Linked DNA regions of Rattus norvegicus. The protein of the gene in region 2 purifies or fractionates together with the protein of the main gene of each other region. This does not show direct contact. Links are inferred from orthologs where the notes say so. Each region holds a gene or a part of one and is shown on either strand. Other genes may lie near its edges.

Region 1 (5,624 bases), on a different chromosome or scaffold from region 2:
CCCACTAGGTGTGAAGAGGTAACAAATCATGGTTTATTCAGAGCATGAACCAGCACTCAGCCAAGAGAGGAAACGAGGTGCCAGCAAAGACTAAAACTTCCACGAACATGGAACACACAGAGAAGGGAGAAGCTCACCCTGACCCTAGAACATGCTGCACCTGGAATAGGCAAACCCAAAGAAACAGCCAACTACAGGTTACCAGGCAACCAGGAAAACCAGGGGTGAGTGACTGTGAGATGAGTGCAGGGTGCTTCTCACAGAGACAAGAGTTCTGAAAGCAAGAAGAGGTGATGACTGTACAACCCACTGAATATACTCAACATAGTGTACGCTCAATGGCAGACTTTAAAAAATGCTTAATGGTATGTTACATGAATTTCTCCTCAAGGGACAAAAACTAGATTCTCTTTAAATTTTCTTTAATTTCTAAAAAGGACAGAATTTGAGTTTTTGAGTGACAGAATTAGTGTAAAAGCCTAGAATGTTCAGAATTAAGTTCATAAAGAAACCATCCTAGCAAAATCTTACTGTCTGACTTAATAATAGTATCTAAGATAACTAGTTTTAGGACAGCAAAAAGTAGAAAGATTGTGTGTATGTATTATATATGTATATGAGTGGGGACATGGTTCAACGTGGGTTTAGTTCCCAGCAGCTGACAACCTTCTGTAACTCTAGTTCTAAGGGTTTTGATGGATTCTGCAGAGACTGTTCACACCCCCCACACACACACAGTATACATGCATGTAGGCAAAAACCTCATACACTTAAGTCTTAATAAAAAGAGTATGGAAACAGTGGTCCATCTCACAGGCTCTTCACCGTGGTTCTACACGTACATACCCAAACAAAAGTTGCCATAGGACTCCACTAGCTCAAGAATTCCAGGGAGAGCTGGGACTACAGCAGTTCCACCTTCTATGGCTCCTTCGACAAATATCAGAGAAAGCTTCTACAAAGACCTGCCTATACCAGATAACTAGTAAATCCTGCTATAAGACACACAACAATTTGGGAGCAAAACAAAACCCAGCTCAGAAAGACTTGCTCCTGGCTTGAGCAATCCAATTACCCTATCTTACAAGTGGCTCTGGGGACAAACTTTCGGATATGTTTTAGGTTTGTGATTTGATAGTAGAAAAATTAGTATGAAACCAGGAAGAGTCTCCTTTGTGCTTGGCAGATGGCTTCTAGAACATTCAGGCAAAATAATCATATACATAAAAAGAAAACTAATCTTTAAGAAAAGAATATGGAAATGCTGGTTTGAGTTTCTCACAGAATCTTTACTATTGCCCTGCAAATACACATTTAGAAAGATGACTTCTGACATACTCGAAATTTATGCTCACATGTCAGTGATGCTTCCCCCCCCCCCCCAACGTTTAAAAAACAATGAGTTATGTGTGTGTCTGTGAGGGAACATGCATGTGCCACTGGAGTCCATTACAGGCAGTTTCATGGTCCAGATGAGAGTGACTGGAATCCAGGTGGATCCTCTGCTAGAACAATACATGTTCTTTCAACCCGAGACACCTTTCTAGCTCCAATGACTCTTTTTCCAAATAAAATTCTAGAGAGAATTCCCATGTGTGTTTAAAAGTCACACTTGAAACTTTAGAGCAGTACCTCATCTACTTGATTCTGTGTCTGCTGGAGTCTTCGATTACTGCCAGTGGCAGCACTGGACCCTGAAGGCACCCCTGTAGACCTGAAAGGTATAAAGTCACAGGTATGAGTACATTGTGATTCCTGGTGCCCTTGATGAGGCAAACATAATCCCGACACTCCGACCACGACATGGGAGGTGGACACAAGAGTCCTGGAAGCCTGAGGGCCAGCTCACCTGATACGTGCAGCACTGGACAAGAGATACCGTCTCTACTAAGGTGGAAAGAAGGGCTGCCATGTGAGGTTGTTCTCTGCTCACAAGTATCCCGTGGCATGTTTGTGTGTACAAACTGTTATGCTGGGATTCAGTCTTTTTTTTTTTTTTTTTTTGGTTCTTTTTTTCGGAGCTGGGGACCGAACCCAGGGCCTTGTGCTTCCTAGGTAAGCGCTCTACCACTGAGCTAAATCCCCAGCCCCGCTGGGATTCAGTCTTACTGACTCCTTATACTGCAATCATTCCTAAAGCCCTGCAGTAAGAAATAAAGGCACTAATGTGTTTTTATAATTCCTCAATAATTCTTAAGACTGTATCACTGGGGCTGGAGAGATGGCTCAGCGGTTAAGAGCACTGACTGCTCTTCCAGAGGTTCTGAGTTCAAATCCCACAACCACATGGTGGCTCACAACCATCTGTAATGGGATCCGATGCTCTCTTTTGGTGTGTCTGAGGACAGCGACAGTGTTCTTATATATAGTAAATAAATATATCTTAAAAAAAAAAAGACTATCACTTCATAGTGACCAAAGTCTGAAGCAAAATAAGATCTGTTTTGTGTCAATGAAGTCCTCTTTTTAAAAAAACTTGCTTTAAGGCACTCAGATGATTAAAGGCACTCAGTAGTCTCGTGACCTTTTTGCTGTGGCAAGAACTGCCTTATGGTTAGGAACAATCACAGAACAGCCAATGTGCTGAAGTAGTGCAACCGAGGGGTCTCTGTGAATGGGAAGGTGGCTGAAGCAATTGTCTCTGTTGGAAAGTCATCTCATGTTGGTTCAGTGAATCTGTATTTTCATTCATCCCCACTCTTCATGACTACTCTGGCTTTTAAGTCCTTATTAACTCCATTAAACTCTTCCTGTATCTAAGACAGTGCTCAACCTGTGCCTTCGTACACAACTGTCACCCCAGGGTTGACTCAACAGTTTTTTTGGGTTTTTTTTGGTTCTTTTTTTTCGGAGCTGGGGACCGAACCCAGGGCCTTGCGCTTCCTAGGCAAGCGCTCTACCACTGAGCTAAATCCCCAACCCCTCAACAGTTCTTTTAAGTCAGCACTGTGTCCACCATCAAGGACACACAACACTGATGGCTGTCTCAGAACTCAGGGTCCGAAAGTTAAACAGCTAAGGGCCGTGCTCTGGAAGCACTATGCATGTTTTTTTTTTCCTCTTTGAAGCCTGATAACTTTATGAAGAGGGTATTACTATCCTCCTCATCTTATTAAAACTTAGGATAAAACATGCAGCTGGCTGAAGTGAAACCAGGTCCACTTTAATTCTCTCATGCATGGACGGGACACAGTCATTTGCACAGCAGTCTGACCAGGTACATCTTAAGTAGTGACAACTTCGAGAAGTAGATACATCAATTCCCGCTGAAGGTTACTATTAGAAACCAATTTCAAAACAAGAGTGTGTTTGCTTAAAACGGAAGCGAAACCTTCCGCTGCCAAGGTGCGCTAGCAGCGCGAGAGCTCCTCTGAGGACGCCAAACGCTGGTCTACCATGGGCTGGGCCTCAGCTCCGGGCCACCTCCCGGGCTCCCGCTCCTGCCCCGCACCGCGGCGCAGAGGGCGAGCGCCCCCGCCCCTCTCGAGGAAGGAGAGGCAGGGTGGGGCGGCCGCTTCCTCGGTCAGCCGGTGCCCCCATCCCCGCCCTTCCGCGTCTGCCCGCCGGCCTCGAAGCACTCGGGGACGTCGCGGCGCCAAGACTCGTCCCGCAGCGTCCGGGGGCAGAGTGCACCGCGGGGCCGCCGCCCACTTCAGGGCCCGGGACGCTGCACCTAGGCCCGCGAGGCCTCCACTCGAGTCCGAGTGCCGAGCAGCAGCCACCGCGCCTGAAGCGGGTCCCAGGAGTGGGCCACGGCCCCCGGAGCCCGCCTCGCCTCGCAGCGCAGCGCGTCACTCACATTTTGGCGGCGGCGGCAGCGGCAGCGAATGGCCGAGGGTCCGTGGACTTGCGCTGCAGGCAACCGAGGCTGAGGAGATGGGCGGGGCTGCGGTGACGTCAGGAACAGGGGCAGGACCGGAACCGGCGATGCGCTCTCAGCCGCCGAGGGCGCGCCGGAAATGGGCGGGGTTACATGGGCTGTAACCTCCGGGCTGACCAGAGTAGGAGGGGCCAGAGCTTGCGCTGAAGTAGCGCCCACGCTGACGAGTGGGCGGGCTTCTCGGTGGACAAGTGGGCGGGGCTAGAGCGCGGCGCCTGCGCCTTTGGGCTGGGCTCTTCAGCGCCTTGGAATCACAGCAGCTTCCTGCAGTGTCTCCGCTGCCCTGTCTCTAGCCCTGGAAAGGCAGTTTAGAGTGAGAATGGGTGCGTTTTACATTACTATGAGCCCGCATACCTTCTCTCTGGGTCGTGACCATGTTAGAAACTGCTTATGAGCCTAACGTTCCAGAATAATCTAGTGGACCTGAGGAGACAAAGTTCTTTTCTGAGAAAGAGGCAGTAGGAAGTCCATTTGGAGTCTTGACCACAGGGTTTGGAAGAAATCCCCTCTCAGGTTCTCACATGACAAGTATTTGCCATTGCACGGCTATTACAATTCCTGAAGGGAGCCTTGGACTTTGAGAACTGTAAGTTTCTTCATTTCTGTAATTCCCTGGTCCTAGCAGAGAAGAGATACTCAACTTTTGTTCAAAGGGGGTGAGTAGTATACGTCGCAAAGAATCCAAACAGTCTCTTTAAACAGACTAAATAAGTTCAGTTGGTGGATTCATTAAGTAAAATACACCTAAGGTATTTTCCACTTCAGCGTGGTGAACTCGCAAAGGTGAGTATTGCAATAAAGCACGCCACTTCAGTGGGTACTGGGTTGAGTAGTAGATATAAAAAAAAAACATTCTAGGTAGGAGCACAGACCAACTGGAGAGTGTGGGGCTGCGCTTAAATAGTGAACAGAAACTGCAGTGGGCTCCTGGTGGGAGGTTCAGAGTGTGAAACTGGCACTTATTCTGAGGTAGATCAGAAGTGAAGTACTCCCAGAAAGATAGCAGAACTCTGCAGCGAAGAGGACTGGAACAGTAACGGAAAAAAATACCTGCAGGGAAGCCTTTGTGAGGTAAGCTGGAAAGGGTCTTTAAAAAAAAAAAAAACAAACCTACCTAGTAGAGCTGAAGAGTAGCTTAGTTGGCAGGGTGCTAGTCTTAACATCCAGTCCTGGGTCTGATCCCCTGGAACCAGATAAGACCCAGCCTGTCGGCACACCCGTAATCTCAACAGAAGCTTTTTAGGTAAACAGTTAAGAGGTTCAAGGTCATCCTTATACGTAAGCGTTGGGACTTCATGGGTTCTCTGAGCTACATGAGAAGGGTTAATGTAAGATCGAGATCCTTATCTTCCAAGCAACCCATTTAAGAAGAAAGACTCGAGGTACTGAGGAACCAGGCAGGGTAGGCAAGTGCTTTGGGAAAGTGGCTCTAAGTGAAACGCTGGGTGGGAGGACACTGTGTGTGGGAGGTGAAAAAAAAAAAAAAACAAACAAACTTCCCACCCACAACACCTTGGGTTTTAGGTCAGGTTAAAGCAAAACGCGGATGATATGGGGAAATTTTCTTCATTTTTAATTTACAGCAGGAAGAATAGAAAGCATTCAGAAAACATTTTCCATATTTTTAAGGGCAATTCAAAACATTTTGCATGGTTTCCAGCAGCTGAGTTCTTCAACAGATCCATTGACTCCATGATGCTTTACATGCACAATTAACAAAAATAAAACTTACAAAAAAAAAGAA
Region 2 (5,734 bases):
CTGGCCTAAGCTAGTGTGAAAACCTGTCTGAAGAACCAACATAAATGAATTGGAAAAAAGTCCAAGTTTCTTATCTTATAACAAGAGAAAATTATTTTAAACTGGCAATCCAAGCTAGACTATGCTACCAGCACGAGAACCTTATCCCACCTAGAGCAGCCACCCAATTTACTTAGCCTGTTTATGTGATAGTTTTTTAGATTTACTAAAAGTTCTTCCCAGAATTGTTTCTAAAATCAAATGCACATTAAGTGCTTAGCACGGTACCAGCCAGAAGTATAAGTTATCAATGAAGTGAATATTATTTCTTTGATGATGATGATTTGAGATAGTCTTCCTATGTAATCCAGACTTGCCTTGCATTTCAATCCCCCTGCTGCGGCTTCCTGAGTGCTGTGATTATAGGTGTGCGCTGCGCCATGCCAGAGTGCTGACACTCATGCTAAGTCACGGTCTTTACCTGCAGTCCTGACTCCTAGTATCGAACGTTTGAGCAGAAAATCAGGAAACTCCTACATAAACTTGGAATCAGCCAAGGCCTTGGGTAGTTTGGGTACATACACTTTAGGTAAGATGAAGTCTTGTCGATCATCCTTAACCGATAGAAGACATTCAATGCCATGAGTGCCTTCATTCTAAGCTCTAGATCAGTGGTTCTCAATCTTTGGGTTGAGACCCCTTGGGGGTTGTATATCTGATATCCTGCATATCAGATATTTACATTATGATTCATAATAGTAGCAAAATTAGTTATGATGTAGCGATGAAATAATTCTATGGTGGGGGGATCACTACAACATAAGGAACTGTATGAAAGGATCACAGCATTAGGAAGGTTGAGAATCTCTGCTACAAATGTACAAGTATATGTGCAACATACCTATGCACTGTTTACTTCTAGAACCCAAAGAGAAATGGTAAGGAATGGATTCAAGAAAATAAATCAGGGGCTGGAGAGGTAGCTCAGTGGTTAAGAGCACTACCTACTCTTCCAGAGGTCCTGAGTTCAATTCCCAGCAACCACATGGTGACTCACAACCATCTATACTATGATCTGTGCCCCTCTTCTGGCATGCAGGTGTACATGCAGATAGAACATACATAAAATATTTATTAAAGAAAAAAAAAGCCAGAACTTCAGATATAGATCATAAGTCAGCAGGCAAAATAACTTGATTTAGATTCCCTCTAGAACTATATTTTACTAGTATATTCCATTTTTTATGGGGTGGGGAGTGAGTGAGCTTCAAGTAGTCCAGGCTGGTCTCAAACTCTCTGCATATGGCTGGTAAGATGGCTCAGCAGGTAAGCAAGAGCTTACCATCCAACAATACAAGCCTGTTAATCTGAATTCAATCAACCGGGAACCACACGATAGGAGAGAACCAATCCACCAAAGTTGTCCTCAACCTCCAAGTCCACACCAAGGCACACCCCTCCCTACAAATAACTATCTGTAATAAAAATAATTCAAATCCTACGTAACAAGTTGGTGTTGCATTCCTGATCCCTTGTGCCAACCTTCTAGGTGTCTGGCCTATTGGCATCCATCATCACACTGGAGCTACATTTCATTTCTAATATGGTATCTAGAATATTCATGCATTTGGCCATGCACTAAACCCCATTATCCTCGTCTAAACAGTACTAGCTTCTGTCTTGGTACACTTTTACTATTGCTGGAGCAAAAGACTGTAAGCAGAGCAACTTACAGAAGAAAGCATTTATTTGACCATCATGGCCAAGGAGCAAGGCAGCAGGAAGAGAGGAAGCTTGAGCAATAGCTGAGAGCTCATATCGCAAACCACCACCAGACTGAGAGAACTAAGAGACTGAAAGAACTAATATATGTCTATTGTTTGATTGTTGTTTTGAGATGGGGTTTCGTGAGGTCACTGGGGCTGGCCTATATAACCGCCTCAGAAGTATTAAATATGTTATTATGGAACACTGTTCTCAGAGCATAAATAACCATTACCATCTTAATCAGAACAACTGGAATTACTCACAAAAGACTCTCTGGATGGGCCTGTTGATGTTCCCTGATAGAAGATGGGGTGTCACTGGACTCTCACCTGGAACTCTAGTCACTCACTCCCAATTCTGGCCCAATTTCACTTGGTTTTATAAGTTGCTACAATGTAGAAAGGGGACCCCACCCAAAAAGAAGCCACCTAAAAATCAAAATAAAACAAAAGGTCCTACTGAGAATGATAATTATTTAAGGTAAAGGCTAAATTTAACCATTTAACTTACTTTAATATGACCTATTCCAGAAGCATTGTGGGGGGAGGGTGTGAGTGTGCATGTCTTTAATTTCAGCACTTGAGAGACTGAGTTCCAGGCCAGCCTGAGCTATATAGTGAGATCATTTCTTTAAAAAAAAAAAAAAAAAAAAAAAAAAAGGTGCTTTAACAAGTATTGCCTTACTGGACCAGGCTGACTCAAACTCACAGATATCCATCTGCCTCTGCCTCCCAAGTGCTGGGACTAAAGGTGTGCACACCACTGCCCAGAGCCTCACAGAATTTAAGCGTAGTATTTTCCAAGAAAAATAAAAAGAATGTGAGAAGGATCTGTTTTTATCTTGCTATGACTGAACTATTAGCATTTTACTTGGACATCTCAAAACCCTCTTAAAAGGCAGCAGGGCAGATGAAGTTATTTCAATCCTTAAAATATCTTTAAGTAAGAAATTATACTATTTTCATAAGGCTGAGAACACTCTGTCAAAAAGCTGTCAGTTTCTGAACTCTCCTTCAATCACCATCCCTGCCCCCAGCCCAAACCTACCCAGATGACAAACAGCAAAAGGGAAAGATCTTTTTCCTCAACTCGGATGTTTTTCGCTTCCTCTACCACCAGTTTGTTTTTCCTAGTAGTGGAGTGACTAATGATAAAGAACGAAGGAAAGAAGTGTAACAGTACTTTAAGATACTTTTCTCACACACAAACCGAATTGGGGAAAAAAAAATTGCTCTTGCCTGACCATATTCTTGGTGCTTCCCCATGGGGAAGACTCAAGGTAAGCAGGGAATTTTCCTAGACAGTGAAGTCTGCCACGCCAGGAGCCTCGGGGTCATTCTTCTAACAACTATTTCAGAACTATGTGTTCATTAAGGCCACCAGACAGTCTGTTAATACTAACGAGAAACGCCGTGAGGCTGGAGGTGAGGGATGAAGAGCCTATCTACACAAGTCCAAGGCACCACCATAGCGCCTCCCTTCCTGTGCGGGATTCGCGCTGGTCGCCAACGCCTGGCGATTTCGTTCTCGGCCCAATCACCGAGAACTGGCCGGAGCTCCCTTCTCCCCTCCAGTCCGACCCCCAAAACGTTGAACCACCACCACACCCTCTTTTTCCTTGGACATCATCCTACCTGTCCCGCTGACCAGCTCACTCAGCTACTTTTCAGAAGGCTCACCCGGCTGCTCCAGCCACTCCTCTCCGGGCCCCGCTGCTCTTGGACTCTCTTAAGATCCGACAGGGTGCGTAAGAGTGCGCAGGCGCCCCGAGGATCTGTGCGCCTGCGCACTCGCAGGGCTCCCGCGGGGCAGACACACCTCTACCGCTGGAGCCAATCACCGCAGGGGGTGGGCGTGGACTTAAATCGCCTGCCACGCAGGCGGAGATCCTGGGAACTCACCCGTTAACCTTACCGGTTCTCCCGTTGGAGAGAAGGTGGGAGGAGTTCGTGCAGCCATCCTCGCTGAAGGCAGCTGTGCCCTGAACGTCTTAGTGTTTGAACTACAATTACTGCCAAAGCCTACAGGATGTTTTGGCATCTTTAAACCAGGGAAATAGATGCGTAAACACATTTCAATTAACAGAATACGGTCATAGAAATTCCGAGGCGCCTTTGTCCAACAATGAGCAAAACTTTTACCTTGAGGAATGCCTGTAAGATTGACGCAGGAAGTTGCTCTTAAAGTCACGAAGGATAAGTAGGAGTTCCTCCGGAAGTCTACGAGATAAGAGTTTTCCAGGCTTTGGGAACAACAACACGGCGCCTTCTGGAAGTTTCTTGAAATTTACTCTCGTTAGAAGCTTAAGAGTTCACTTTCTGAGACAAAAGAAAATGAAGGCATGGTAGCTCATACCGTGTTGTCCTCAAGCTATTAGAGGCTGAGGCTGGAGGATCACTTGACCTCTGGAATGTAAAGCCGGACTGACAACCTAGTGAGATCCATTCTTTCCCAAACCATTGTACTCTGAAATAGGAAAAGCTCTTTTATCCCTGAGACCATCACCACCAGGGCTGGGGATCAAACTAAGGAGAAAACTAGATCTTTAAAGGTCTTGTAGGTTTTGGAATGTTAAACCTAGAATTCGTTTTTATGGCCATTGAGTTACTGGAGGGTTTTAAACCACTTGCCCCAAGAATTCTTCCACGCACCTCTAAGAGTAAAGCAAAATGCTGGCAATCTAAGGAATAAAAAAAAAATATTTAAAAGAAATAGCTTAAGAGATAAAAGAAGTCTGAGAAATATCTTTTGAATTTAATAACTGGGGATTGGTGATAGTTGACAGACATTCCAATAGTTTGGAGAAGAGAAAGAAATGGGAACGTCATAAAATGCTTTTGGAAACTGGCTTTGTCAGAGAAAAAGGAATGATGTGTTTTATTTCTTTTTATTTTGTTGAGATGAAGACATAAGAACTCTAGTATGGGAGAAAAGACTCAACTGGGAAAAACAGTTGAATTTTTAAAAAATTGAGGGGGCGGTAATGATCTAGATAAAGATCTCGATAGGGTTAGAGCTGCCGTAGTCAAACCAGTGATGAGAGTTGGTGGTGGTGCACCTTCAATCCCAGCTCAGGAGGTGGAAGCAAGGGAATCTTTGTGTAGCCTGGTTTACATAGTAATTCTTTGTCTCAAAAGTAAGTAAATGAAATAAAACTTTGGGCTGGAAAGATGGCTGTTCTTCCACAGGACACCCATCTGGTAGTTCACAACTATCTGTAATTCAAGTTCCAGGTGATCCAAACCTTCCTGAACCTCTATAGGCACATGTACAAGGATGGTAAACAGGCATTCATGCAGGCTAAACACCCATACTAAAATATAATTTAAAAAATCAACACTAGGGGTTGGGGATTTAGCTCAGTGGTAGAGTGCTTGCCTAGCAAGCGCAAGGCCCTGGGTTTGGTCCCCAGCTCTGAAAAAAAGAAAAGAAAAGAAAAAAAAAACAACAACAACACTGATAGGAGGTCTAGAACAGTGGTTGAAGCCTATAATCTCAGCATTAGGAGGTAGAGAGGCAGATCAGAAATACGTCATCACTGACTATATAGTGATGTTGAGGTTAGCAACCTGAGGCCCTGCCTCTAACAATAAAATCCATAGGACTGAGGCTGGCCAGAAGGCTCAAGGTAAAGTACTTGTTCTCAAGCCAAGGACCTGATTTTAATTCCTGGAGTCCATATAGTTGCAGGTCCTCTGACTTCTCTATATGAGCACTGGATGGGAAGCATGTTGCTATACATACACACACACATACATACATACATACATACATACATACATACAACCCAAGACACTGAGAAGAAAGGGACATTCATGGAAGGGAGACCAACCCACACAGAGTTGAGGGAAGGAGGGATATTCTCAATGATAATGACAAAATTTACTTGTAAGCCTGTATGTTTAGAAACAGGAAGTTAACCTTTCTGAGAAGTCAGATACTTTGCTGATTAGAAAAAATGGCTGCAACTTTTGGGAAATTGAGCAGC
Region 3 (5,606 bases), on a different chromosome or scaffold from region 2:
ATTGTACATTTTCACAATCTGGATGCGCCACAGAATTGGGGGCATGGGGCAGGGGAAGAAGGAAGGCAGGGGACACTGGGATAATATTGGGGGTCTAAAACACAAGCACCCCCACCCCCAGCATCTCTCCTACCCTTTCACACCACAGTTTAGATCTCCTTGGTTCCCCTCCACACAGAAAACCTGGTGTGTGTGGGGGAAGAGTTTGGGGAACACCCCCCCCAAGAGGCAGGTTAAGGGGCTGTACCCTCAGACCCCTAAAACTGTGCCATTTTTAAAGATTAGATCCTTTCTCTATCATTGTACCCAACAGGGAAATAGCTTGCTTCCCTCTCTCTCTCTCTCTCTCTCTCTCTCTCTCTCTCTCTCTCTCTCTCTCTCTCAGGGCTCAGCAGCCCTAGAGAAGGACAAGGATCCCCATCCTCCAGCAAGTCCCATACACATATTGGCAGTGACTAGTACCCCCACCCTGAATACAGGGGGGCAGTCAGAGGAGCTGGGCAGTGATGGGGGGTAATACCCCCCCCCAGGATTGGGGAGGAAAGTTTTCAGTCCAACCTCTAGCAAGGATGAGGCCAGAGATTTCAGGCAGGAATTAGGGGGGGTTCTGTTTTGTCCCACTCCTCCCCAAGGCAGTGATGACCCCCACACACACTAGAGCCACCCCTCCTCAAAGAACCAGATTGTGGTCAGCCTCCAGTTCTCCTGGTGGGAGGAGGCAGCAGATCAGGCAGATGGGAGGGAGGGAGACCCCCGGGAATGTCAGCTGAATGCCCCACACGAAAACTGGGGAGCAGGAATGTAGGGAGAGACCCCAAGTGGCAGAATTATTGGTCCATCATAACACACTGAACTCCAAGACACTTACACACCAGCTGGGGGAGGGAGAGGAGGGTACAAGAGGTGTGGAAAATGGGGTAAGGGAAGCAAACTAGACTAGAGGGGCTGGGAGGAGGCAACTTTGGGGTCCTAGTTCCCCAAAAGCCCAGGCTCCCCACCACCTGCAGATAATGTCGTGCAAATAAAAGTGTGATAAGAGGACCAATGGAAACTAACTCTTCCGAAAAGAAAGAAAGAAAAAAAAAAAACACAGAAGAGTGAAGAGTAATGGAACAGAAAGGAAGAAACCCAGGGAAAAAAAAAAGACAGTGTATGCAAATGATATGCTAATCAACATGTTGGAAGCTCCCAGAAAACCTTGGGATTCTTAGGACCAAGTAGGACCAGTCTTAGAGGCTCCCAAGGGATACAAAGATGCAACCTATGGAAGCCTAGACAGGTGGGGTGTTTTGTTTGTTTCTGTGGGGTTTGCTCTGTTTGGGGAGGGTCTGGAATTGTACAGGGAAGATAGGGGAAGGATTGGTTAAATCCAAGGGAAGGAGGAGAGGGGCTATTGCATAGCAGATGCAAATGAAGGGACTTGGGGCTGAACAGGAAAGAGGAAAGGGGGCAGAGGGTGAGAGAGAGAGGTGATGGGAACCTCAGGAAGGGGTGTTAAGGACAACCGGAAAAAATCTTCTAGTAATAAAACTACAAACAGACCAAATATATATAATATTATATATGTATAAATAACAGCTGGCTATTTACAGGGGGCACACACACGGACACACACACACACGGATCCAAGGGAGGGGGCTGAAAGATATGGCTGAGAGGTGGAGGACGGGCTGAGGGTGGGGGAGAGGCCCTTCTTAGGCAGGGCAGACTCCTCAGGGACTTAAGTGCTGAAGTAAACTGTGGAGAGAGAGGGCATGAGGAGGGGTAGGGGGTGGGGGAAGGGAAGGAAGAGAAAGACAGCAGTGTATCAGGCCTGGCCCTGTTCCAAACCTCCCCAGTCCCCCACTGACATCCCTTCTCTCTCTGCCTCAGTTTCTTCAAAGGGACTGCACAAGTGGGTATTGAGATCCCTTAAACGCCACGATTGCACAAAGGGGTATCAAACCTTTAAGGCACTGGCATGTGACGATAGCTTTCAAATAGTGGAGTAAGTGTATCCTGTGATTGGAGTTCAAGACCCTCAGCCTGACCTGTCTTCTACTCTCCAGTTTTAGAAACCCCAGACTGAGCTTTTAGGCTCAAAGGGTTCCTAGAAAGGCACCAGGGACCACCCAGTATTCCTATCCCCAAAATCTTACCCAGAACTACCCATAACAAGGGAAAATAAGGCTATAACACTCAAGTTGGGGCTCTACGTGAGTCAGAACTGCCAATAGCAGCAAAATGTGTTTTGGTAGAAGAGTAAAAACTAGGTCAATGACCTTCAAAGCCCCGACTCCACAGGGAAACCCTCTACTTCTCCAGGGAAAGGGCCCTGGCCACTCCTGCTCCACTCACCGATGATGATGATGAGGATGATGGCGCAAATCACTCCCAAGATGATCATCATCTAGGAATGAGAGGGAGGTGAATGAGGCGAGGTGACACCCCACTCACCCACTGGCCCTCCACCTGACCCCATCTCCTTCCCCTTTACCTTGAGGTTTTTCCACCAGTATTTGCGCTTGAGCTTGGCTGCACTTGTTTCAAACTGGGAGGCCCCTGCCTGGAGGGCATCTGCGCGATCATCCAGTTCCGATAGCTTCTGGTCCCGCTCCAGGACCTTGTCCACATTCACCCTCATGATGTCCACCACCTGGGGGAGGGGTCCACGAGGCAGGGGGGTGTGCCAAGGTACGCCTTAAGGAGGGCACTTCTTGAACATGTGCCCATTGTGGCACACATGGAACATGCACCCCGATGTTTTCAGGCTAACATGCCAAGGACATACACAGAACATGCTTAGCACACCTGGGGACATGCAAGGAGCACACATCAGGGGCATGCTGCTGCCACAGAGCTCAGATGCTCAGCAACACCCTCTATCTTTAGGGCTTGGATCAGCCTATCACCAGAGCACACCTGCCCCAGCTGGCACACCCCGGGCTAGCACAACTGATTCATCCTGCAGCCCTTCCAAGTGCAAGCTGACAGGGAATCAGAGAGGGGATACGGCAGGTCTCGGACCCAAACCCACAGGCATAAACTGTCATTACCTTCAACCCAAGATGGGCTCCCACACCTATTTGCCAGTCCCATCATCTTTCACACACACACACACACACACACACACACACACACACACACACACACACACACTCACCTCATCCACCTGGGCCTGGGTCTGCTGCAGTCTCCTGTTACTGGTAAGATTTGGAGGAGGTGCAGGGGGGCCACCCTCGCCGGCCGGGGCGGCAGGCGGGACGGTGGCAGCGGTAGCCGACCTAAGGAAGAGAAACGGATTAAGACTCCAGGCCTGGAGCCTCTGGCCCTACAGTCCGGGCTCCACCCATCCACCTGTCCATCCACAGTCCCTCCAGTCCTCTCTTGCGCGAGAAGGCACCCGATGGGAGATACAGTCACTTTAAGGCCCCAAAGCGGTTGAGCCGCGTGACCTTGAGAGACCCTCCTCGTGCCTCAATTTCCCCTCCTGTTAAATGAGGGCGACCTCCTTGATGCTGCCCGGGGTCGACCCGAAATGACTGACGGCCATGGTGACAGGGGCGGGGCGGAGGGTGGACGCTGGGTCCGCTCCCTCCTGCGGGCCATCGCCCGTGCCAGACCGCACGAGACCGGGTTCCGGGCACCAGCGCGCAGTCATGGGCACCAGCCTGGCCAGCGGCACGAGAGGCGCGGGCGGGACCCCCGTGTTTCCCAGCCCACTCCTTGGGGTGGCGGCCCGCAAGGGGCAGAACATCGCGGGTGGCGAGTGACAGGCGGCTGACTTACATGGCGGGGGTAGCGGGCAGAGGACTTGGCAGAGGCAGTGACAGCGGCGGCGGCTCGCGCTGGCTCCGACTGGCGCTGGCTACCCGGGACTGGAAGATGGCGGCCGCACGTCACCCGCATCCGGGCACTGCGGCGTGGGCGGGGCGCGGCAGGCGACACGTCTCTAGCGGACCGCGGGGGCGGGGCGCTGCAGGGCCGGGGGTCGTCTGGTTGGGTCTGTTGGCCTTAGGCTGTGGGCCCAGCTCGCCAACCCACCGCCGCCCCTAAGACACCTGACACCTGCCTCTTTTGGAAGGAACCCACAACCGAGATTCATACATCTCTTCCCCACAAATTACATCCTTCCTCATACTTGAAGAGGATACACAGGTTCTTACACCTTATAATTCGACGTCTCATCCTACAACCTGGTTCCAACACATGGTGTATGGGTTGAGGGTGAAAAACAAGAAGCGACCAAGATAGGTACCAGAGCAATACTAACTGGAATCCTGACACTGTAGTGGAGGGGGATTGTGAGAACTAATCTCGCCCATCACCCTGCAATTGAATGTCTCAAGAGAGATCTGAGGCTTCTTATTTCCTAGCAGGGTATGGGCAAAAGGAGTAACAGAGGCACACACACACACACACACACACACACACACACACACACAAAACCGGGGCAGGAGGGGGGCTGTGAAAACTGCCCCTCCTTACAAAGAACTTATGACCAGGTGTGTGTTTGGCAGTCAAAGCTTGAGCAGGCCCCACAAAAATTAGACAAGCTAAAGACTCTAGGGAGGGCCAAGACTGTCTGGTGGTGCCATAGGCTGGATCCCCACTGAAGTCAGCTGCCCCACCTCAGCTTTGATTCTAGCATACAACCCGGACTGAAAAGAGACAGTAGACAGGGTGGTCGTACCTGAAGTACTTAGGTTATAGGCACAACTTTACATGTGGATTAGTCCCAAACACATGACCTTGACAGAACCAACTGCCTCTCCCTGGACCCTAAAATTTAAGTGCATCACATATGGAGACAATATTTGTCAAATGGCTTAATCTAGATAACACTATAGGATATTATCTTAGACCTGGTCCATTCCTGACTGCTCCATTTTAAGTACACGAAACAGCCACAGCAGCTGTACACACTCCCATCCTGCATCTAGGGAGAGAGAGAACCAGGGAGCAGCTGCCTATTTAGCAAGTCTCCGGGGTGAAGGAGGCATTTTAGGGGAGGACTAGTAGCTCTGAGGTGGGAGTGCTCAACACATCCCTGAGAGAGCCTTATTCTCAGAGACAAGCAGGGTCTGGCTTTCCTCCTCTTCACTGTGGGCTTCCCAGAGCCTCCTGTGCTGCAGTGCCCAACCCCCTCCCAGCAGAAGCCCCAGGACAAGTTCTGTCATCTGAGGTGTTAGTTCCCAGCTGTCTGGGGGAGGTGAAAGAGCAGGGGAGTTTGTGCTGGGTGCAGAATTCGCTCAAGGCTGCCTCCTGCTTCCCTTGCCAGAGCAGCCATTAGCCTGGTCTTTGTGAGGCTGGGCTCCTGAGAAGAGAGGCTTTGGTGGTGGAGGGGGCTGTTCAAATCATCTGTGAGGCTCTTGTTTTCTGTCCCTGAGACCACTCTACTTTCTAATCAGAGAACAAAGATGCCACATTCCATTATTTCACGCTCAAATGCCTTAGTGTCTGGATAGAAACATCACAGAGTGGGGAAAGAGAAACTGTGAGCAGACACCCCCACCACCACGGCCCAACACCCCCCCCACCCCTGCAGGTAAGATCACAGACCCTGTTTTAGGAATTATACCCATGGTGCCTAGCCAAACAGGATATGGGAGAGAGAAAGAGAGAGA

The links. The genes of interacting proteins can lie anywhere in the genome.
Region 1: the proteins of Snap23 (region 2) and Vamp3 purify together in Homo sapiens (affinity purification with western blotting; 6 studies listed by BioGRID and IntAct, with this or other methods). This does not show direct contact. The link is inferred for Rattus norvegicus from reciprocal best matches to the Homo sapiens genes SNAP23 and VAMP3.
Region 3: the proteins of Snap23 (region 2) and Vamp2 purify together in Homo sapiens (affinity purification with western blotting; 4 studies listed by BioGRID and IntAct, with this or other methods). This does not show direct contact. The link is inferred for Rattus norvegicus from reciprocal best matches to the Homo sapiens genes SNAP23 and VAMP2.

Annotation. Positions count from the first base shown.
Region 1 is NC_086023.1:166,787,671-166,793,294, forward strand, and holds the start of Vamp3 (vesicle-associated membrane protein 3), read right to left. Parts: upstream 3,853-5,624; 5' UTR 3,802-3,852; coding exon 3,800-3,801; intron 1,715-3,799; coding exon 1,633-1,714; intron 1-1,632. UniProt on the Homo sapiens protein: SNARE involved in vesicular transport from the late endosomes to the trans-Golgi network.
Region 2 is NC_086021.1:127,965,636-127,971,369, reverse strand, and holds the start of Snap23 (synaptosomal-associated protein 23), read right to left. Parts: upstream 3,485-5,734; 5' UTR 3,381-3,484; intron 2,402-3,380; exon of another isoform or gene 1-2,401. UniProt on the Homo sapiens protein: Essential component of the high affinity receptor for the general membrane fusion machinery and an important regulator of transport vesicle docking and fusion.
Region 3 is NC_086028.1:54,291,035-54,296,640, reverse strand, and holds the start of Vamp2 (vesicle-associated membrane protein 2), read right to left. Parts: upstream 3,853-5,606; 5' UTR 3,771-3,852; coding exon 3,769-3,770; intron 3,264-3,768; coding exon 3,143-3,263; intron 2,636-3,142; coding exon 2,477-2,635; intron 2,390-2,476; coding exon 2,338-2,389; coding exon of another isoform or gene 2,264-2,337; exon of another isoform or gene 1,738-2,263; coding exon 1,721-1,737; 3' UTR 1-1,720. UniProt on the Homo sapiens protein: Involved in the targeting and/or fusion of transport vesicles to their target membrane. Major SNARE protein of synaptic vesicles which mediates fusion of synaptic vesicles to release neurotransmitters.